Arabidopsis thaliana: one gene and its partners. The protein of the gene in region 1 interacts with the protein of each later gene in a pairwise test. Each region holds a gene or a part of one and is shown in the gene's direction. Other genes may lie near its edges. The genes, in order: HLECRK, HHP1, AT2G16030 and GRXC1.

Region 1 (6,253 bases):
ACAACGTAAGAAATTCTTTTAAACACTTTCATTTTGTTTTATAAACTGAAATGATAAATTTTGAGATTGAAGTGTATATACATTTTGGTGTTTGGTTTTGTGTTTTGAAAGCAAGAACCAGAGATAAAGAGTGAAAACAAAGAAAAGAAGAAGAAAGGTTTTGGAAAGAAACTAAGGAATGGAGAAACCAATTCATTTCTTCCCATTTTTAGACAGCCTAGTAGTATCGAAAAGATCTTGTCTGAAGCCGAACGAGAGCATAACCTTGTCTTTAGGCCACCAACTCCCACTGATCGAGCAAATTCATCATCAACCTCTGTTGCATCTCCTCTTGTTAGGCCTGCTTCTCCTAAAGTGCCTTCTCAAAGATATGTCTCTTCTCCAAAACCCATTTCCCCAAGAGTTGCTTACCCTCAAGTCCATTATCCGAAGCCCCCTTCTCCAAAGCCGCCTTCTCCAAGAGCGGTTTCGCCTAGGATTGTGCAGCGACGTGAGTTTGTGCATAGACCAGAGCCAAGTCTATTGGTCAAAAATGCTTATGCAATTAAGATTCAAGCAGCTTTTAGAGGTTACATGGTAATAATGTAAAACATTCTTGATTCTGTTTTGTCACTATTAATCAAGCAGTAAAATTCATAATTTAGGAGATGGAAATTTGTTTGCAGGCAAGGAGGAGTTTCAGAGCTTTGAAAGGTCTAGTCAGGCTTCAAGGAGTGGTAAGAGGACACAGCGTGAAGCGTCAAACGATGAATGCTATGAAGTATATGCAGCTTTTAGTCCGAGTCCAAACACAAGTCCAGTCACGTCGCATCCAAATGCTCGAAAACCGAGCTAGGAACGATAAAGATGACACGAAATTAGTCTCTAGTCGTATGGTAAGTGCTCTCATAAAACTTAGTGAGAAAAGAAGATCTCTCTCAGTTATTCATTTTGACATTAATTATTGTTACTTTCCTGCAGTCTGACGATTGGGACGATAGCGTGCTGACAAAAGAAGAAAAAGATGTGAGGCTTCATAGGAAGATTGATGCAATGATCAAAAGAGAACGGTCCATGGCCTATGCTTATTCTCACCAGGTATGCAATCATGACTCATCTATTCTTCTTCTTACTCACCATACCAATGTTATATATGCTTGTTTCCTATGCAGTTATGGAAAAACAGTCCAAAGTCTGCTCAGGACATTAGAACAAGTGGGTTCCCACTTTGGTGGAACTGGGTGGACCGGCAGAAGAATCAAAACCAACCGTTCAGGCTAACACCAACACGACCGAGCCTGAGCCCTCAGCCTCAATCTAGCAACCAAAACCATTTCAGGCTCAACAACAGTTTCGACACGTCAACACCCAATTCATCAAAATCCACATTCGTTACTCCATCTAGACCCATTCATACTCCGCAACCATACAGTAGCAGCGTCTCAAGATACTCACGAGGAGGAGGACGAGCTACACAAGATTCTCCTTTTAAAGATGATGATAGCCTCACAAGCTGTCCTCCATTCTCAGCTCCAAGCTACATGGCTCCAACAGTCTCAGCTAAAGCAAAACTAAGAGCAAACAGCAATCCAAAGGAGAGAATGGACCGTACACCGGTCAGCACAAACGAGAAGAGACGAAGTTCGTTCCCTCTTGGTTCGTTCAAATGGAACAAAGGGTCATTGTTCATGAGCAACAACAGTAACAACAAGGGTCCAGGTTCTTCTTCTTCTGGTGCTGTGGTGCTTGAGAAGCACAAAACCCTCAAATCCGTTGGAAATTTGAGTATTGATTCTACTGTTTCGATGCCTGCAACAATTGGGAGGAGGGCTTTTAACAGATTTGCGTGATTTGTTTTTCTTCTTTTTTTCTGTGAAAAAATCTGACCTTTTTTTCCCAGTTGATTCTTCATTGATTTGTTTATCTTACATCAATTTTATGAGTGCTGATGATTTTGAGTGTTGTTTGTGTTCTTGATTACGAATTTTACAGATGTAACATAATAAGAAAAAGTAAACAACAAAAACAGAGGATTTGGATTGTACAGTATGATGTTCTGTTTTTCTGCTTGTAAATCCCTTATCTGTCTTTTGGCCCAAGTAACAAACTTTAACCTTTTCTTTTGGGCCAGACTTCAACTATAATACGTTTTGTAGGCTATATTTTTTCTTTTAACTAGATTCGAATTGGATGGCTTGGGTATGCGGTATCAGTGATTACTTAGCTAAATTCAAATCATCAAGAAATGTTCACATGATTTCCTGCAACATGTCAAAAGTCAGATCAACTTAGTTTGATAAGTTATGTTCCACGAAATTATGTGAAAATTGATTTGTTTTCTTCTTTAGTTTGGTGCTTTCACACTGTTAATCCACAAAGCCTTGTTGTAAATCTTGACCAATGGCCTAAAAGTCAAACCTTTGACTTTTCAGTGTTTCTTCTCAACACTCAAGAGATGGATGATAATATTCACAGATGATCAAAATCTTTCACACAAACCTAAAAAACACCCACCAATGTCTCGTGAACTTATTATTCTCTGCCAACCAATTCTTGTTCTGTTCCTTACTCTGTTTTACAATTCTCATGGCTACTTCGTCTCACAAGGATCTGTAGGAATCGGCTTCAACGGTTACTTCACTTTAACCAACACCACAAAACACACATTCGGTCAAGCTTTCGAAAACGAGCACGTTGAAATCAAGAACTCATCGACAGGTGTCATCTCATCTTTCTCAGTCAACTTCTTCTTTGCGATCGTCCCTGAACATAACCAGCAAGGCTCACACGGTATGACTTTCGTCATCTCTCCCACAAGAGGCCTTCCCGGAGCTTCCTCCGATCAATACCTCGGAATCTTTAACAAAACAAACAACGGTAAAGCCTCGAATAACGTTATAGCTATCGAGTTAGATATTCATAAAGACGAAGAGTTTGGAGATATTGATGATAATCATGTTGGGATTAATATTAACGGTTTGAGATCTGTTGCCTCTGCTTCTGCTGGTTACTATGATGATAAAGATGGAAGCTTTAAAAAACTTTCTTTGATCAGCAGAGAGGTAATGAGGCTTTCCATCGTTTATAGTCAACCTGATCAACAGCTCAATGTTACTTTATTCCCTGCTGAGATCCCTGTTCCGCCACTAAAACCGCTCTTGTCTTTGAACCGAGATCTCTCGCCGTATTTGCTTGAGAAAATGTATCTTGGATTCACTGCATCGACGGGGTCAGTTGGAGCAATTCATTACTTGATGGGTTGGTTAGTTAATGGTGTAATCGAGTATCCGAGATTGGAGCTTAGTATACCAGTCCTTCCTCCATATCCAAAGAAAACATCTAATAGAACGAAAACTGTTTTAGCCGTCTGCTTAACGGTATCTGTGTTTGCTGCGTTTGTCGCTTCGTGGATCGGTTTCGTCTTCTATTTGAGGCATAAGAAGGTTAAAGAGGTTCTTGAAGAATGGGAGATTCAATATGGACCTCATAGGTTTGCTTATAAGGAGCTTTTCAATGCCACAAAGGGTTTCAAGGAGAAACAACTTCTTGGTAAAGGAGGCTTTGGTCAAGTCTATAAAGGAACACTTCCGGGTTCTGATGCAGAGATCGCTGTGAAGCGGACTTCTCATGATTCAAGACAAGGGATGAGCGAGTTTCTAGCCGAGATATCGACCATTGGTCGTCTCAGACATCCAAATTTAGTCAGGCTTTTAGGATACTGTAGGCATAAAGAGAATCTCTACTTGGTGTATGACTATATGCCTAATGGAAGCCTTGACAAGTATCTAAACCGTAGCGAGAATCAAGAACGGCTTACTTGGGAACAACGTTTCAGGATCATCAAAGATGTTGCAACTGCTCTACTACACCTGCATCAAGAATGGGTACAAGTCATCATTCATCGAGATATCAAACCAGCTAATGTTTTAATCGACAATGAAATGAATGCGAGGCTCGGGGATTTCGGACTGGCGAAACTGTATGATCAGGGATTCGATCCTGAAACATCTAAAGTAGCGGGAACATTCGGATATATCGCACCAGAGTTTCTAAGAACAGGAAGAGCAACCACAAGCACTGATGTTTACGCCTTTGGGTTGGTAATGCTTGAAGTAGTGTGTGGTAGAAGGATAATTGAGAGACGTGCAGCAGAAAATGAAGAATATCTTGTGGATTGGATCTTAGAGCTTTGGGAAAATGGGAAAATTTTCGATGCAGCAGAGGAAAGTATACGTCAAGAACAAAACAGGGGACAAGTTGAGCTTGTTTTGAAGCTAGGTGTGTTGTGTTCGCATCAAGCTGCATCGATAAGACCGGCTATGAGTGTGGTAATGAGGATTTTGAATGGAGTTTCACAGCTACCAGATAATCTTCTTGATGTTGTAAGGGCTGAGAAATTTAGAGAATGGCCTGAGACATCAATGGAATTACTACTACTTGATGTGAATACATCGAGTTCATTGGAGTTAACCGACTCTTCTTTTGTCTCCCACGGCCGCTGAAATTTTAAGTTTACCACTGATTCTTTGTTTGCTATGAAGATGTATCACAACTGAGATTATTACACATTGTAATACACAGCCGAATGTTTTTTTTCCTGGTATGTACAAGAATAAGACCACACCGCCTCCTCCAAACATTTTTTTAATCCTTTTGTATTTGATAACAACTCGATTATTAATCTTGAAAATCAATTCTTTTTCTTAGAGACCATTGTCCGGTAAATCCTATGAAATTGAATGGTTAAGAAATCTTATAATACTATACTGTTTCCTCTTTGATACGCCAATTCGTTAGGAGTATCTGCAGAAATTATCCAAATAGAAGAACGTGATCAAACAAAGCTCCGATTATGTTTCTATGGTTCATGAATTCAAAGAACCCTAAACAGATGTGATATAGATATTTAATCTACTATTTCAAAACCTTTTTCGAATCCAAGTTGCTGTCAAAAGTCCAATCTACTGCCTATACTTTTAACGTTGCCTGTCCATACTTATCACCAAAGTTGCAAAATTCAAACCTATAAAATAAACCTAAAGAGATCTTTGAAACCTATGAAGACGATGAAAACAATCGGAAAACTAAGAACATTAAAGATGTGGATTTGAAAAAGAATGTAGCGACTTGTTCGAGGCCAACAATCAAGATTAGAAAACTTGATAGGCACGGAGAATCGCTATTTGTTGTTGCCAACCTTCAAGGCAACTTACGCCATTTTTATTTTGACGTCATTGCTCTGCAAATTGGCTTTTATTTAAAAATATAATTGAAATAAATTACTTAGATACACGATAAAAAAAACACTACAAAGCCATGAAAGACCTCCTAAAGAAAAGAAACTACGACTTTGAATCGGACTTGAAGATGATTGATAGTGTCCAAGCCTTTACTTATTTATATAGGAGAAGCAGAAGCGGCTGCAGAGGAAGAAGAAGAAACCCTAATTTCATTGTTTTTATCAAAGCCACGAAATCGAAATTAATGGGCCAAAAAGCCTACTTTTGATTCAAAATGGGCCCAGATCCACAAAGTAGACTAACGATGATGTAATAAAATATGCGTGCAGGTGAAGAAAGCTATAATAGAGTCACAACTTGGAAATAAGTTTTTTAGACTCTACGCATATATAGAACTTTCCGGTAGCCAGCTTCTCCGGAGGAAGCAACACCAACTTGGCTACAATGGCAGCAGCCTCATCCGCCGTGTGAGTCCCCTGACCACCGGTCATAGACGTACGAGTGAAACCAGGGCATAAACAATTCACACTCAGTTTTTTGCCGTCGTAACGTCGAGCCAAAACCCTAGAGTAAGCGTTTAAGGCCAACTTTGAGATGGCGTAGTCCGGCCAGTTCTCCGGCCATCCTTGCTTCTCCCAAGTCCCGCTCTTCACGTCCTGCAGAAATTGAGTCAATGTCGCATCGATTTGTTCATTGGTAAGGTCTTCACTTTCTAGGATTCGTCTTATACTAGGGCTTCTCAGTTTCTGTATGCCAAGAAAACAAATCCAAATGAGTCAATTATATATATGAAGTTAGTGAGTATTATTGATTTTGTATTCAGTATAACAGATAAATATATGAAGATCTAATAACTGGAACAAATTTTACTAACATTTTATATATTTATATCTTTGAATATATATATATATATATATATATATATATATAAATGCTTTGACAACAAATAAAGAAGATAGATATAAAAATGCTTATACAACTAAGATATAATGTTGTAAAATCATTATATCGTTTTGATATTATTGGATTTCCGC
Region 2 (6,137 bases), on another chromosome or scaffold:
TACATAAGCTGCCGGAAATACCTAACTCTTCATATGGTTGTCTCTTTGACACCTACCGGATTTTACTTCATTTATGCAAAGTATTGTAATAATAAAAAGAAAAAGAGGATATTCCCGGTATTTTAATTAACAGAACAACATTCATATAAATAAAACCATTCCTTTTGATTTTAATTAGGCCTAGGCGACAAAATATATAATTAAGGCTAAATAGATTGCAAACACATGGCAGTTATATCCAAAAGTAAAGATTACAAAAGATGTCGAGAAGATAAAGTCATTTTCTTCTTCAACCATATTTAACAAAATCTTAAGTTATGAATTAGTAATAAACTATTTTCCCAAGAAACTTAAACACACGTATATGGAGTTTGCGTATATGATTGCGATTCCTTGGGGGTGTTTCAGGAGTGACCTCTTTGGTTAATGTTTTCCCAAAAAGCCTAAGCCAACCCAAATCTTGAAAGACCAGAAAGCTACAACTATGGCCATTTTATCAGCTTTAATTTTAGATAACAAAACTGAATTTTGTAAGAGAAAAAATAAAGGTATGGCTATGGGACGCCGAGATGTTAATTACTATCTACATAATAACAACATATTTTTTTTTTTGAATTTAGTGTTAAATTATATTCAAAGAAAAATAAACTGTTTATATACAGAAATGCAAACTTTTCTTAAAAATAGATCAAAAGTATATCTTATTTATCTTTGATTTTGTTCTTGCCTAAAAGTAAACCACACTTGGATTCCTCTTGCGTACTTCTCTTCACATCTTACCCTCAACGTGCTTAATCCATTCCTTATGTTTTTGTCTATCAGCCTGATTATCTTCTTCGTCCTCGATGGCGTCTGTCCATATCTCCTCTCATTTCTTTCTCTCCATATAGAATGTATCGTGTTTTGAAACACATACCGAAGTACAAACCTTGTAGTGGCGTCAAGATCTTTACTCACTAACTCCTTCATAATAACAGCATAATAACATGTATTACATGAATGCATGTCACAAACGTTTATAATTCCCTTTTTTTTTGCCAACAAAACGTTTATAATTCCTTGTATGAAGATATTTTCGTCTAATTTTTAACATCCTTTTTTAGTTGATTTCCAAATAAATTATAAATTTGTTCTAAAGTTTAGTCATCTGCCTAATTAATTAACTTGAAGTTCTATATTGCTAGAGGCATTTAAAGGTCAAGTCCTTTTCAAGTGGTAACTCATTGAAAATGACACTAATGTTTTTTGCAACATTTCACAAGAAAAAAATAGAAATTTTCATGATTTTGGCTTTTGTGGTCTACTCTTTTAAAAAAAGGAATCCTTGAAATGTTTGCATGCTTGTTTTTAGTATCATTATTTTTGTTGTCATCCACTTGATGGAAAGAGCTTTGACACTTCTTTACCACAATCACTTCATAACTCATAACTACATTAAATTCTGTTGTTATCCTAACTTCTTCTGTTAAAAAAATTACTTAGAATTACACATAAGAACTCAAAAATGCAAATTTTCTAAAATTACTCGTCTATTTCAAGTAAAGTAAACCCCTCACCAATCTTAATTTCACACAGAATTTAATGTTGATTGAAGCATAGTAAAAGTCTAAATGAGTCCTTATTTTTTATTTTTACATCAAGAGTACTATTTTGTTTGCATCACATATCTTATATCTTTCTTATAAATACAAACGATCCGGTGGGTACAAGGCATCAATCATGTAAAAGAGGTACAAGCCGGTAGTGAATTTTGAGTCGGTCGGTCTTAAAATCGCCTAAATTTACTCTTCTCGTATTCAAAAGATTTTCCATATCTCAAAAAGTAGTGTAAAACTGAATCACTTTTCTTGTTAAAAAAAAATACAATAAAAACAAACGTAAGAGAAAGGGAAATGAAATAATAATAATCAAAAAAGAAGAATTTATTGATAACCTAACTAACAACTAAAAGATGAAAACACGACACCAACTTCTACCTGCATACTAAAGTTTCGTCTTTAAATGTTGCAGCTGTCTCCTTACATTTCACATCTTCCTTGTTTCTTCTCTCTCTCTCTCTCCCCTCAAACTTAAATTCACATTTTAATACTTGTTACTTCAACTATAATAATAATAATAATCTTTCTTCATTATATATTTTCCTCTCCTCTCAGATCTTCTCTCTCACCATCTTCTCTTGAGATCAAGATTGAGTATTCTTGTCTCAAGAATCGATACTCGAGAGCTCTTATGGACCAAAATGGTCATAACGACGAAGCAGAAACAGTTTCATGCGGCAACGGCAACTGCAAAAGCAAGATCGTGCCTGGAGATGATCACGGTGGAGATGAGAGTAGTGGTACCAAGAGAAGGAAGAAGAGAAAAACGCAACAAAAGACAATGAAACGACGTGAATTAATGTCGTATTGTGAGCTACCGGAGTACATGAAAGACAACGAATACATATTGAATTATTACAGAGCTGATTGGTCCATTAGAGATGCTTTCTTCAGCGTATTTAGTTTCCACAATGAGTCCCTCAATGTTTGGACGTAAGTACACCAAATTTTACTTCTAGTTTCAATTATTTTTTCTTCGATTTTTTTTTCTAATAGTTTTTTTTTTTTGGACAGACATTTGATTGGTTTTATCTTCTTTGTGGCACTAACCGTCGCCAATATTATTCATCACGACGGATTCTTCCCCGTGGTAAGTGTCCTTTAATCAACACGTTTATTTTTGTTTTTGTTTAATAATCGCAAGTTTAGCCCGAATTTCAATTTATTCCCTCGAGATCCACATGCAACCACTATATTAACTTCAAATTAGTCAAGTGAATGTGTCAAGTAATTAGATATATACCTAATTGGTTTTGATTAACTTATCTTAATTTTCTAATGAATTGTTCGTTGCTATACCTGGATTTTGTTATGATGATTTTGAATAAGATATCAAAGATATATAGACATGAATCGAAATGATGAATAAAATCTTTGACAATATTACATTGACTATAATTTGTTTTCTGTAGTATATTCTAAACAACTCAATAAAATGTAATTCTTTTAAGGATTATATATCAGCTCAAATCTATTATTTAATCACATATCTAAACAACTGAAGAAAATGTATTTCTTAACTAGATTAGAAATCAACTCAAATATGTTATTTGATCATATATCTAGTATATGTTTTTTTAGTATCTCAAACTAGTCAATAAAAATGTAAAGCTAATGGTGGTATCAATGTTGATGATTGTAGGATGCAAAGAGTCCAGGGAATGTAACAAGATGGCCCTTCTTCGTTTTCTTAGGAGGCTCAATGTTCTGCCTACTCGCAAGCAGCATTTGTCACCTCTTCTGTTGCCACTCAAAAGAGCTTAATGTCTTCCTTCTCCGAATAGACTATGCCGGTATCACCGCCATGATCATCACTTCCTTCTTCCCACCAATCTTCTACATCTTCCAGTGCACTCCTCGGTGGTACTTCATCTACCTCGCAGGCATCACATCCATGGGAATCTTCACAATCATCACACTTTTCACCCCATCACTTTCCGCTCCCAAGTACCGAGCTTTCCGCGCTTTGCTCTTTGCCTCCATGGGGCTGTTTGGGATTGTCCCAGCTGCCCACGCGCTAGTGGTCAATTGGGGAAACCCGCAAAGGAACGTGACGCTCGTGTACGAGTTGCTTATGGCAGTGTTCTATCTTGTTGGAACAGGATTCTACGTAGGGAGAGTGCCAGAAAGGCTTAAACCGGGATGGTTTGATCGTGTGGGACATAGTCATCAGATCTTCCATGTGTTCGTTTTGTTGGGTGCTTTGTCTCACTATGCAGCTGCTCTCTTGTTCTTGGACTGGCGTGACCACGTTGGTTGTTAAACCATATATTTGTAATTCTTTTAAATATAATATTATTAATTTGTTGTATCGTGGTGAACAAAATTGTAATAACCCATTTGTTTTAAATTGAATTGTAATTCAACTTGTGTTAATTGTTATGTTTGTTGAATATGCATGATTTTCAGAAGTCTTTTTCTCTATGAGAAGTTAATGGTAAATCAAATATTTGCCACTGAATAGTTTCGTTTTTGAATATGATGACTTCAATTGTTTGTTTGCTTTATATCATGAAAGCAAACAGAATTGAAAAGACATAAAAAAAAATTGATGTAAACACAAAAGCAAAAATTGACGGTTGAAACAACCAATGATTTGTTTTATAAAAAAAAAAAAAAACCAATGATGCAAAGGATGGACTTCATGCATGGTTGATGGTTCTTTCATCTATCTACATGCGCACTTAGCTTAGTGTCAGGATTCCCTAACCACAAGAGAATTAATATGTATATATGCACCATCAAATGTTCATCAAAGTCTCCGCTTCCTTTTTCATTCTTCATAGCCGAGTCCTCTTATTATTGCTTCAAAGTTTTTTTGTTCTTTTTGATTTGATATAAATATATGTGTTACTAGGTTATACAGGTGTTAATTAGATGCAAGACAAGGATTGATCAGACATAAACATAATTAAAGACCAAGCTTCACTCTGTAACTAGACTCTTGATCGATAATGCGTGAACGGACCCAAACTCTTTTCGAATTTCGGAAGCCAAATGTCTTGGTCTTGCCGTGAGACTTGGTGTATATTTTCATATATCTTTTTTTTTTTTTCCTTTTGATGTATGAAACTTTTTTTATGTGTGGTTAATGAGTAAAACAAAGAATCGAACACCATCACCATTAGTTTAAGGTTGATGTGTGAAACATAGCGTACGTGAAACAGTTCTTCTAATTAACCCAATTTGATGTTATTGTTAAATTATCTTCAAGAGTGACAAATATACGACCAAACATGTCAGCTAAAGCTTTATAATGCCGGTTATGCTTAACCACCCCAAATTTGATTTGCCTGCCTCAGACCGGTTATAGCAGTACGGGAAGAACCGGTTTGATAATGGGTATAAAAGTTTTTCGTTTTTCTTCTTGCAACCAAACCCAAAATTGACCCTAAAATTAAGCATGCCATGATAGCTAGCTAGTAACGATCGACGGTGCCAAACCCCGAACGATATGAAGATTTACTTCTGATTCGGTAAACATTTTTATAAAGCAATAAATACAAAATTAATGTTATTTGCTTCTCAATTACTCTATTAGTCTTCCGTTTCCTTCCCTAATAGGATTTATTTTGGTCCATTTCTGCTTTAATTTTTTACCTTTCTAGTGATTTTATTTGGTAGACTTTTAGCTGGTTTGGATTCTCTACTATAATAGACTCTTATATTCCTCTACTACATAAGTATATACCCTAAATGTGTCACTGCCCAAGAAACTAGAGAAAAAAAATATGGAACAATCAAATTTTGTTAATATGAAACTCTCTCTAGTTCCAACTCTTCTTCTTCTTCTTGTTCTTCTCGTCTTTTATCAACATCACTCTTCTCCAAACCTAAACTCGAACGCTCTCTCTTCTTTCGTCGACGCTACGTCCCTCGCCCCATCTCCTTCACCGTCCCTGTCTATGGAGTTTAGTGTCGCCTCATCAAACCTTTCAACAATTTCGAGTCCTCCTGAAAATGTATGTTTTTATTAATTTACGTGATTTTGTTCATTTATGCTATAGATTTGTTTTGACTTTTGAATATATATAATTTGTTGTAATAAGAAAGGAAATAAGAGGAACATAATTGAGGAAGGTTTAGCAAAATCAAGATCCGCCATACGTGAAGCCGTGAGGTTGAAGAAGTTTGTATCGGACAAAGAAGAAACCTTTGTTCCTCGAGGAGCCGTTTACAGAAACGCTTTTGCATTTCATCAGTAAGTTTCTGTTTCCTTTTTTTCTTCGTTTCTCCTTTTTTTTTTGTCTTTCAAATTTTCATTTAAAGTTACTTTCCATACTAGGAAATAAATGTAATACTAAGATTTTATTGGGGGAAAAAAACTAGTCAATATGAAAATTATTAAGTATACAACTACATTTTATGCTAATGATATGACAATTTTCATTTAAGTTACCCATAATTTTCTCCCCAGATCATTTGGATTTCAAAGAAGAGAAATTCAAAATTTACCTCAAAAGTGTAACCGACATTCGACAATGATTTTTAAGCAAAATACATTTATTGTTTACATGAATAAATTATTTTCGAAATCCT
Region 3 (5,309 bases), on another chromosome or scaffold:
CGCAAAATAAAATAATATGAAATTTATTTTGTTTAAGAAAATTGAACATAAAAATTGTTAACAAGAAAAAAAATAAATAGAAATCTCAGTTTTCTTCCTGGCGAAACATAATCCTCCTAGCTTTCGCTCCTGCAAATTCATTCATCAATTTTTGGTAATCGAGCTTCTCAACCAGTTCTTGTTATACAGATATCAGCGCCAAACCATTCAATCGCTCTTGAGACATAGTCGAACGTAGATATTTTTTTATGAGCTTTAATTTTGAAAAAGTTCTCTCCGCCAAAGCAACTGAAACCGGAATGGTGAGTAGTATACGATAAGCGATCCATGTGTTTGGATAACAGCTATCCATTATTTTCAAAAATTTCAACACTTCGACCGGCTTTGTAATCTCTTTTGGCAACACATCTTTTAAAAGTTTCAGCTCCATAAACAGATCTTCTCCATCAACATCTGAATGCACATCATGCTTCAAAGAAGCTTCAAGCTTCATACACGATGTCCTTAACTCATCATCTTCTGCTACCTTCAATCTCTTTACACCAAACAAAAATCCAAATATTTGTTCATATACTTGGAATTGCTCGAATCTTATCTCAATACACATTATAGCTTGATCCATTATATTGATGAAGTAATCAATTCTAAAACTCTCCTCTGCAATCTTACTTTCATCAATCTTCTCAACATCCTCAACAAATTGCTTTTTTTTTTTCACCGACTTTTTTGGAAATACCGGCGCAATCTTCATCTCAATGGCAATTTGTGTAGATTCAACTTTGGCTTTCTCGAAACCTGTTTCTTTGTAGTTTTTCAAATAAGTAACAAGCCCTCCTAACTGAGAAATAGCAACCTCAAGATCCATATCCTCAAACTGTAAGGATTTGCTTACTATATTCACAGCAGCTAGCAAATCGTACCAAATTATCATTCCAAATAAAAATTCAAACCCTCCAATTCCATGTGTTTCACTCTCTGTAAGAGACTCAACATCACTCCGGTGTCCTGGATTATCAGTGTATTCTGCCAAATAAAAAAGTGCATCTTGTATCTGTATCTTTGAAGCTTAATATCTTATTGGTTTAAGACTATCAATGCGGCTTTCCCAACGCGTTTGAGACAACGGTTTAAGTGTAATACCATTCACTGTTTCTCTAAACACTTCCCAATTGTTGGTTGAAGCTTCAAACAGACAATGTATTCGCTGAACAATTCCAAAAAAAGAAACAGCTTTCTTGGATGATGAAGCCATATCACAAAGTGCAAGGTTAAGACCATGGCATCCACATGGAGTGTAAAATGCTCTTGGATTTATATCAAGCAACCTTTTCTGAACTCCTTTATGTTTTCTCTTCATATTTTGTCAGTTGTCGTATGCTTGTCATCTTACATCATCAATATTCAACTTAAGATCAATCAATGCATCTTGAAGAGTCTTAAAAAGCCCCTCACCCCTCTTATCTTTGATGTGTAGAAACGTCAAGAAGAACTCCTCAATCTTAGGTGAACACGTTGAAACATCCACACATCGAATTAAGAAGGTCATTTGTTCTTTACGACTAACATCCGGAATGGAATCAAGAATGACTGAAAAATACTTCGCATCTTTAATCTTCTTTAAGATCATCATCTTGGTATCATTAGCAAGTAATTCTGTCAATTCATTCTGACTCTTATGACTGGGAAAATGGCAATGAATTTCACCTTTATTAGCCCGCCGAATGTGTTCCTTCATATCCGAATTAAAACCTCCAATCATTCTAATAAATGCCAAAATATTTCCACTATTTGGATCATCAACATTCTCTTTAGTTCCACAAAATGCTAAATTTTGTTTAGCTAGAGTCTTTACCACTGCAATTATTCTCACCAATACATCTCTCCAATGTTTTTTCTCCTTCTTAATTGCCTATTCCATATGGTTATCAATTGTTTTACTCTTTTGTAATCTCACTTCTAGCTCCATCCAATGAGTCATGGAAATAATATGACGATGAGTTGTTTCATGTCTTTTCAGCCTTTGCGCAGCATTTTTCCAGTCATTATACCCACTACTTGCTAACAATGTAGGATTTGTTTCTTGATCGAATAATTAGAGAGAAATTCGATCCGCTGATTTTTGAGGAATATTTGAATTTTGATTCTAAAAATAAGTGAATTCGAGTTTTGGTGACAAAGCAGCGCATTTGTTAGCTGATTGTATTTTGATTATTGATGCTATATAGACATAGATTTGTGCGAAAATTGAGGAACAAGAGAGAAATTTGATCCGCTAATTTTTGAGGAAGATTTGAATTTCGATTCTAAAAATAGATGGATTAGATCTGCAGCGTTTGTTAGTTGAATGTGTTTCGATTATTGATGCTAAATATACATAGATTTGTGCCAAAATGAGGAATTAGAGAGAAATTCGATCCGCTAATTTTTGAGGAATATTTGAATTTTGTTTTTAAAAATAGATGGATTCGAGTTTTGGTAACAATCGGCGGTGTTTGTTAGTTGATTGTGTTTTAATTATTGATGCTAAATAGACATAGATTTGTGTAAAAATTGAGGAACTGAGAGAAATTTGATTTGCTAATTTTTGAGGAATATTTGAATTTTAATTCCAAAAATAGATGGATTCGAGTTTTGATAACAATTCGCAGCGTTTGTTAGTTGACCATGTTTCGATTAATTATACTAAATCGACATAGATTTGTGGAAAATTGAGGAAATAGAGAGAAATTCGATCCGCTAATCTTATATGAATATTTGAATTTCGTTCCAAAAATAGATTATTTAGAGTTTTGGTAACAATCAACGGCGTTTGTTAGGTGATTGTGTTTTTATTATTGATGTTATATAAACATAGATATTTTGATCGGAGTTTTGATCGGCGACGATGGAGAGAAACGTCGAGAAGATGCTGAAGAGAGTATCAATAGTGTTCTTAAGCATCGGAACAGTATTAATGGTAATTATGATTCTCCAGACACCAAAAACTTGTATTTCTCCAGAAGCTCCATCGAAACCTCATACGCATTTCCCGAGATCTACATGCGATTCATCGCCTCGTCAGCATCTTCCTCTCCCAAAGAAGAACGCTCGAATCTGGTCCTCTGGAGCTTGGAAATCTCGTCTATACTCCTTCTCTACCTACTTCCTCCGATTTCGCGATCTCGGATTCATTCAAAATCACACCAAAGCTCTCTGTCTCTCCGCCGGAGCAGGCCATGCTCTGATGGCTCTTTCTCAGATCGGATTATCTGATGTTACCGCAGTTGAATTGGTTGATTCGATTCCTCTTGTGAAAAGAGCTGATCCTCATAACCTTCCGTTTTTCGACGGTGTCTTTGATTTTGCCTTCACTGCACATCTAGCTGAAGCTCTGTTTCCGTGGCAGTTTGTGGAGGAGATGGAGAGGACGGTGAGACGTGGCGGATTTTGTGTGGTTTCGGTTGATGAATGTGGTGGAGATGATGTAAGAGACATTGCTAGGCTTTTTCATAACTCCAAGGTCGTTGATGTTGCTAATGTAACCTTAGAAGGATCCAAAAAGACTAGTATACTATTCAAAGTTCAAGACTCTCCTACCTGAGGTGTTTTATTTCTCTTTTGATTTATAGGCCCTTTCCGGATTCTCAGAAAACTGCTTCAATATTCATAGAGTGGAGCTAGATTTGTTTCTGTTGAAATTCACTTACATGTTTGAAAAGCAGGAGATTTAACAGATTATGTGGTAACATTGTTCAAAGACCATGACCATATTTGTTCTGGATCCTAAAGCAATGTTTTGTTGAGGGAAGCTGCGATGTTTGTTGCGAGTTCAAGATCCAGAACAAAAGCTTTCTACAGGTTAATATCTTTTTTTTTGGAAGTTGGTCTCTGAGCTAAACAATTCTTAGGAACCTTGGTCGCTTTTGAAACAAGTAAAGAACTTTCAACAGCTTTTGAAGACTTTAGTGTGTGATGAAAGAAAGTACTTTCTTTCCAGGTGAGGTTCACGTTTCAATCTGTTAGAGCTCTCCTGTGTACTATTTGTGAGTTAAGTAAAATACTCTTTAGTCATTTTGTATACTTAGAAAGAACAAAATTCTTATTGGTGAATAAAAGGCTCTTACTAAAAAAAAAAAAAAAAAAAAAAAAAAATTTTCTCTCAAGCAAGATAACCAAGGTAGCCGCAAGCCTTGTTCGTGATTAGTTCTCTTCACCGGCGTTGCTCCTCTGACTGCCTGCGTTCCTGATTGTAGCTACTACTAAAGTGAGATCTCTCCAATGAATCTACTTTTCCGGTGGCGTAATTGTTTTCCGGCGAGTCTTTCACTTGAAATGACTTTCCTTTTTCTCTCGAATGCGAGCCACTCTCGTCGCTTACCGTCGTCTTCGGTCGCCTTCCTCCTTCTGAGGCCACCTTGTGCACCACCACCAGAGCCTCCATCTCCGCCGACTCCACCGGAACCACCGGATCCACCAGATTCTCAGATCTGCTTCACTTTTGCTGATTCTTATGCTCAGTCGTTGAGCTCCTCTTCCCTCCCAGATTTGGTCTCGCTCATTCTCCATATCTCCTCCGCCATATCTGAATCTCCGTCACCGACCTCTTCGATCACTGATTTTTTCATTGATGTTTTCCTTCTCGCCGACGACACCACTTTTCTTCCTCAGTATTTCCCTCAGGTTTGCTCTTACTCTTCGCCGTATGTTTCTTCTAAGATTGGAAGGGTTTGGTTGTTGATAGAGTTTGTGGCTCTGGTTTTGTGGAATTTGGGTTTGTGTAATTCATATGTAGCTTATCTAGTTTCGATTGGCTTGGATACTTTTGTGCTCTCTTGTAGCACCTCTATCGCTTTGATGCGATCACTTACCACAATATGTGGATGTCTTAATTCGCCTTTGTTAAAAGTTGTCTCATCGCAGCTTAGACAGAATGTTTTGGATACTTTTGTGCTCTCTTGTAATACCTCTATCGCTTTAATGCGATCTTTTACTGCAGTATGCGGATTCTATCTCGATTTGTTTTTGTTAAAAGTTGTCTCTTCGCAGCTTAGACGGAGGGCTTTGATTTCAGACAACCTACCAGTTTTTCTGGTTCATTGGGGATTTCATAGCCCTCATCTCTCCTTTATGGAGCTTTTTATCCTCTCAAATACTTCACTTGTGTTTAGTGATAAAGTTACAGGGAGCATTGTGTGCAATACTGATCTGCTTGAAGTAGAAGCGAGGATTGTTGTTCAAGACTGTTCTCATTCAGCCTTTGCCGATTGTTTGACGTTAGTGTCATTGGAGGCTTTGTTTCCTCCTTATTGTGGTTTCGACAAGGTCTTCCA
Region 4 (5,702 bases), on another chromosome or scaffold:
TTGAGTGGAAGTTTTCTCAGCTCTGAGCATCCATTAACCAAAATTTTCTGTAAACAGGGAAATGGCAGGGGACCCCGGTGGATGTGTTTTAGCATCTGAACATTTTCTAGCCGCAACTCTTTTAGTTCTTGGAAGGGAATAAGGTTTTGCTGCTCAGCTTTCTCTTTGTTTATTACTTCTTTCAGGTCACTCGCTGAAATTACTCGTAGAACCGTAAGATTTGGAGCAAAGATCAGCCACGTCAAATCCCGCAATCTTGTGCAGAATTCTAAAGACACTTGCGAGAGGTTTGGGAAGAATGTGGTAGTGGTTGGGATGTGCAGAGGCAAAACCGTCTCATTCCTCTTTACCTTGATCTCCCAAATGTCAGAGTCTGCAAAATGAAGCTCTTGAAGACTGTCCATAGTAGCAACAAATGAGATTACAGATGATTGCGGATTAAGATTCTCGATGCGCAGAGCTCGTGTACAGCTTGCCAACCTCTGGTTGCTAAGGAATTGTTCCAAAATAGAAGCAAGACCAAGAGTTATGGTTAAAGTTTGCAAGTTTTCCAAAAGCTGCAACTCGTTCAAAACACAGGGATCTTCAGGGAAACCGGAAACAAATAATCTCAACACTTTCAAACTTGTTAAACCTGATATGCCACAGATACTCTCTACCATCCTTGTGTACTCCAAATTCAGGTATAAAAGTTTCCTCAACTCTACTAAACCAGCAGGCCAAATCCTTATCCTTGTACGTGATAAGCTCAGATACTGCAATGAGACACATTCTGATATTTCATTTGGCAAATGTCTGAGATCCCTGTTCATTGATAGATCAAGAACAACTAGCATTGGCATCAACCGAAAGAAGCTGCTTGAGATATGCCCCAAGAAGTTCTTTCGGAGGAGCAAAGTTATAAGTTGGGGAGATTCAGGAGCATCACGTATACTTTCAATGTTGTTAAACATCAATGACACCCTTCTCGCAACTTTCCACTTCTCGATCTCAGGTATGTTCCTCGACTGTAAGCCCGCTTGCACTATAAAGTTTTCTTTTTGCTTTCCAAAATCAGATGCTATCCACAATGCCATTTCTCGGACCACATCATGCATCTTCACCGTTTCTTGATTCTCCTCCATCAATAAGCATGAACGAACTAGAATACCGATAATTTCATAACCTTGGTTCTCAGCTTTACCTTTGTTTCTATCTATGAATCCCTCACCTATCCAGTAATCTACCAAATCATTTTTCTCAATGTTATGATCTTCTGGAAACAAAGCACAGTACTGGAAGCACAATTTGAGCTGTTCACTTTTTAAATTATCATAGCTGTACTTTAGAATAGGTAGAATCTCATCTTCCATACCTGAAAACTCAGCTGCAGATGAAGTCAAAACGTCGATTGCTGAACGCCATTCTTGCACTGTCCTTTTATATGCCATTGTTTCACCAATGACGTTAAGGGCCAATGGTAGGCCGCGACATTTCTTAGCAACTGTTCTTGCGACTGTGGGAATCTCAGGGTGGCTCCCTAATGTGATCTCTCCTACTTTCTTAGTAAACAAATCCCACGCATCATCCGGGGCTAAACACCGGACTTCCATATCGCTATCAACTCCCATCCGCCCGCAGATTTCTTTCAACCGAGTGGTGAATACTATTTTGCATCCGTTTTCTCTACTCGGAAACGGAACTCCCACCTCTGTTAAATCCACTTTACTCCATATGTCATCCAATAACAAGACAAACCTTTTGTGCTTTAACACATTGTAAATGTTAGATGCTTTTATGTCCTCTGTTTTCTGTTTCCACTTCTCGTTATCAGACCGTAACTTCTCCCATATCTCATCTTGGATCCTCTGGATCTGTAACTCTTTGGAGACCACAATCCAAATCACAATATCAAACTCGCCCCCAACTCTAGAGAATCTATTGTTGATATGACTGAGAAGTGTAGTTTTACCTACTCCACCCATACCATGAAGACCAAGAATCCCAATCTCATCTTCCATTAGACGGTTCCACGCACTCTCAAGCATTGGATCCATAGCAACCATAGGTCTAGTAGGCCTCTCTTCCACTCTTGCTGCATCAACTCTCTCAGCCACCACAGCGAAATCTCCCTGATATCGAAGAACCTCAACTTCCTCTATCATCTTCATTACTCTCTTCCCATAACGGTAGCTTGAGACAAGATTCTTGGAACAAAACCCACAAAGACACAACCTTTGGACTTGAACAGATCTCATTCTGACGAGTTCGTTAACTCGAGGTACTATTGCTTCAACTTTTGAAACCCATCCTTGCACAACAGAAAGTCGTTGTAAACCTCGTCTTTCTTCAGACAAAATCTTTCTCAACAAATCTTCTCGTCTTTGCTCAATCTGCTCAAGAGCTCTCTGCAGAGCTGTCAGATTCTCCTCTAAGCCATGAATGTAATCTCCATTCCTGTTTAAGCAACTACAAACATTCTTCGTCAACTGATCACATGATATTGATACAGAGACACAACCTCCCATCCTGCGTTTACACAAAAGAAGAAGTAAACTTGTGGCAGAGAACTAGAAGAAGAAAAAGGATAAGAGCTGCTGAGTTGTGAAAATTGACAATAATCCAAACTCTAAAGTCGTCGCTATTGTAAACTTTAAACAATATTCTGAAAAGAGAAATTTCTACGAAAAAAGACTAAAAGAGTATCATTTCAGAAAGATAACTTTTTTTCAACGCAAATAACTCTTTAATAAATATTGACTGAGGTTTGATTGAAAGAGATAAAAACTTCATTTGCCAGCAAGATTGGCACAAAACTCGAGCAGAGGACATCTGTAGGAGTTGTGTCGTGGTCGTCTTTGGTTAAGAGAAGAAGAAATGGGTTCAATGTTCAGTGGAAACCGAATGAGCAAGGAAGAGATGGAGGTGGTGGTGAACAAGGCTAAAGAGATCGTCTCTGCTTATCCCGTTGTTGTCTTCAGGTTTGTTCTCGTTGAAATCTCCCATCTTTTTCATCTGGGTATTACTCTTTTCGTTCGTGATTATGAATTTGTTGAGAAAATTGGATGTTGTTGCCTTGAGGGGTTTTGAATTAGTCAAAAAGTTTGAGTCTTTACCATCAGGGGGTAGAGTCTGCTTCTATTTGACGCAGAGGCACCAATGGATCATTGTCTGCTTGTTTTGTTGTTTCCATCTGTGAAATTAGGTCGTGAATGAAAGATCGAACATCATCTTATATTAGTGATTCTCCATCCAATTCAGAGATTATTTGTGGGTTCCCTAGACGATTAGGGATGTGATCATGTAATATATACTGATAGATCCAGTTCTCAAATTTGATTCTGACTAGTCTAGAAATCTTTGAAGAAGCTAGAGTTTTTGAAGATTGATCCGTGCAAGCTCCTATGACTGATTTGGGGATGCCTTTCGGAGTTTTGAAATGAAGCTTAATTTGTTGTTGCTTAGAGTCTTGAGTTTGATTTTGCTTAGTCTTAAAAGGAACGTATTTCTTTCCACTTTTTGAGATGGTCTAAAGGTTACTTTTCAAATGTAATGTCTTAGCTCTGATCCATATTTTCTCTTTCGCAGCAAGACATACTGTGGTTATTGCCAGAGGGTGAAGCAGTTACTGACGCAGCTAGGAGCAACTTTTAAAGTACTTGAGCTCGATGAAATGAGTATGAAACCAAATCCCTGTCAATACCTGTATATTAATATATCTCAATGAACCTGAATTATCTCGATGCTATGTTTACTTCAGGTGATGGAGGTGAGATCCAATCAGCTTTATCAGAGTGGACTGGACAGACCACAGTTCCAAACGTCTTCATCAAAGGAAACCACATCGGTGGATGCGATAGTAAGTGAAAAACCTACACAAATTCTCTGCACAATAATGGAAATTCGGGTTGCCGGAAAAACTAACTGCGTTTTTCGTGTTGCTTCTATATTTTGCAGGAGTGATGGAGACCAACAAGCAAGGCAAGCTTGTGCCTCTACTTACTGAAGCTGGGGCTATTGCAGATAACTCTTCTCAACTTTGATGAAACTCGAAACTAGTGTGTGAAGAGTGTGTGTTGTGTTTAGATCATGAAAAAAGAGGTATCGTCACATACTCAATAAAGAAAGATCATTCCCGTTGTTTAATACAGAATATCTAAGTGTATACTTTTCATGTTGGTGTTTCGGTTAATGGAATAAAACTTGAGAAATCTGCTCTAGTTTCTTGCTCTAAATTACTGAAGATTACTGGTTGCATCCCAAGTTGACTTTGTAGCAGGCCGGTCAAGTAGGTGGATTAAGGCTTTTGGTTGAACCAAACTTATCTAGTAACCGGCCGTGTAGGTGCCTTAAAGGCTGAAAAACTAATATTAGCCAAATCGATCAACGGAAAGTTACGATTGAAAGAGAAATGAATATTCGAACAGCAGAAGTGCATTTTCACTGATTTGTGTAATCCAAATTCGGATTCGAACAGCACAAGTACATTTTTCACTGATTTGTGTAATCCAAATTCGGAGAACCAATGTCCAATGGCAATGAATAATGTCAATTTGGTTAATCTAGATTTATTATAAAGTATAGTGCAAAATCGTAGTTTAAGAGAACTTGTGGGGTCAATTAGTAAATATTATCTAGAGCCGGTTAAAGAAGAGAAACTGAGGAAACTGAATTTGACCAGAGAGTGTGTTCAAGCGAAGCGTTGTAGAAGAAAAGACAAAGTTTTGGAATAAGCGGAGCAAAACCTAGACAGGCCCGTGTAAGATGGAGATTTGTTTTAAAGATTTATCAAATCAATAACTACTAACCTAAGCAAGTAACGAAGCCGTGGCTCTCACAAATTAGCCCAAATCCTCAAATTTCACCAAAAGTCTTCGAATTTATTCTCCAGTATCAGTTTCTCTGGGAAAAAGTTCTACTTTTGCGGACTCTGAGGAAATCTTTTGTATCTGTACACCATTCATGGGTTAATCCGATTAAACCCGTGTTGCTCCGTTAGGGTTTAAGAGAATTGCCGCCTTCACCGGCCATGGCTGCTAAACTTGTGTCCTCCTCGGCTTCTTCTTTGGTTCCATCCATTTTCTCGCCGTTTCAACCTCGGAGTTCCTTTCAGGTGACAATTTCTTAATTTGTAGTCAGCCTTTAGAGTTTCTTCTATGCTGCATCTGTGTTTCATGCTCCCAATGTATTGTCTCGACAGATGTTTCTCCCAATGTGGTTTGAGACATTGAACAAATATTCATTTGATCTAGTAGGAAAATTTAGTTGACACATTTGAGTATACTAAAATCAATGTGTCTGAAGTGGACTTTAAGATATAGTTTTTGCAATTCTTACTTAGATTTGATTGGGACATTGCAGTCTTGTTCTCCATAGATGATGCCTAGAAAAAACTGGAACTTCATCTGATCAATAATGCTTTTTATTAGGTTATGATAAAATGAAATCAAGTGTTGGTTTCATTTGTTGTTGTTGATGAGGTTATTACCTGCTGTTTCTTGGTCTTGGGAAGCCCATGTTTATGGATATTTGCTGATATTTGTCGTCTCCAAACTTCAGTTTCGTTCACCGAGGGTTCAGCCTGCTCATCTCCATTGTTACCATTCTCTGCACCTTAAAACTGATAAAAGTAAGTTCCTTTCTTACTCTTAATTGTTATCCTTTGGGGGTATGAGTGACTTGTGAGTAAGTTTTCTGACTGTATTTGCATTCGTTATGAACAG

What was found.
Region 2: the proteins of HLECRK (region 1) and HHP1 interact in a protein complementation assay, tested with the Arabidopsis thaliana proteins (one large-scale study listed by BioGRID).
Region 3: the proteins of HLECRK (region 1) and AT2G16030 interact in a protein complementation assay, tested with the Arabidopsis thaliana proteins (one large-scale study listed by BioGRID).
Region 4: the proteins of HLECRK (region 1) and GRXC1 interact in a protein complementation assay, tested with the Arabidopsis thaliana proteins (one large-scale study listed by BioGRID).

What each region holds. Positions count from the first base shown.
Region 1 is NC_003074.8:22,049,651-22,055,903, forward strand, and holds HLECRK (lectin-receptor kinase), read left to right. Parts: upstream 1-2,470; 5' UTR 2,471-2,495; coding exon 2,496-4,481; 3' UTR 4,482-4,744; downstream 4,745-6,253. Other genes in the region: IQD13 (IQ-domain 13), read left to right, coding at 1-5, 112-576, 666-875, 961-1,077, 1,152-1,829; AT3G59710 (NAD(P)-binding Rossmann-fold superfamily protein), read right to left, coding at 5,570-5,965.
Region 2 is NC_003076.8:6,838,749-6,844,885, reverse strand, and holds HHP1 (heptahelical transmembrane protein1), read left to right. Parts: upstream 1-1,939; 5' UTR 1,940-2,229; coding exon 2,230-2,531; intron 2,532-2,612; coding exon 2,613-2,688; intron 2,689-3,240; coding exon 3,241-3,861; 3' UTR 3,862-4,053; downstream 4,054-6,137. Other genes in the region: AT5G20260 (Exostosin family protein), read left to right, coding at 5,330-5,560, 5,648-5,799. UniProt on the Arabidopsis thaliana protein: May act as a negative regulator of abscisic acid (ABA)-mediated osmotic stress signaling and function in cross-talk between cold and osmotic signaling.
Region 3 is NC_003071.7:6,972,467-6,977,775, reverse strand, and holds AT2G16030 (S-adenosyl-L-methionine-dependent methyltransferases superfamily protein), read left to right. Parts: upstream 1-2,768; 5' UTR 2,769-2,884; coding exon 2,885-3,580; 3' UTR 3,581-4,103; downstream 4,104-5,309. Other genes in the region: AT2G16040 (hAT dimerization domain-containing protein / transposase-like protein), read right to left, coding at 182-1,023, 1,453-1,759; AT2G16020 (uncharacterized protein), read right to left, coding at 4,190-4,420; AT2G16019 (uncharacterized protein), read right to left, coding at 4,494-4,604; AT2G16018 (uncharacterized protein), read left to right, coding at 4,258-4,659, 5,156-5,197.
Region 4 is NC_003076.8:25,283,496-25,289,197, forward strand, and holds GRXC1 (Thioredoxin superfamily protein), read left to right. Parts: upstream 1-2,681; 5' UTR 2,682-2,856; coding exon 2,857-2,960; intron 2,961-3,567; coding exon 3,568-3,656; intron 3,657-3,739; coding exon 3,740-3,838; intron 3,839-3,936; coding exon 3,937-4,022; 3' UTR 4,023-4,199; downstream 4,200-5,702. Other genes in the region: AT5G63020 (Disease resistance protein (CC-NBS-LRR class) family), read right to left, coding at 1-2,507; AT5G63040 (uncharacterized protein), read left to right, coding at 5,009-5,092, 5,539-5,608. UniProt on the Arabidopsis thaliana protein: Has a glutathione-disulfide oxidoreductase activity in the presence of NADPH and glutathione reductase. Reduces low molecular weight disulfides and proteins.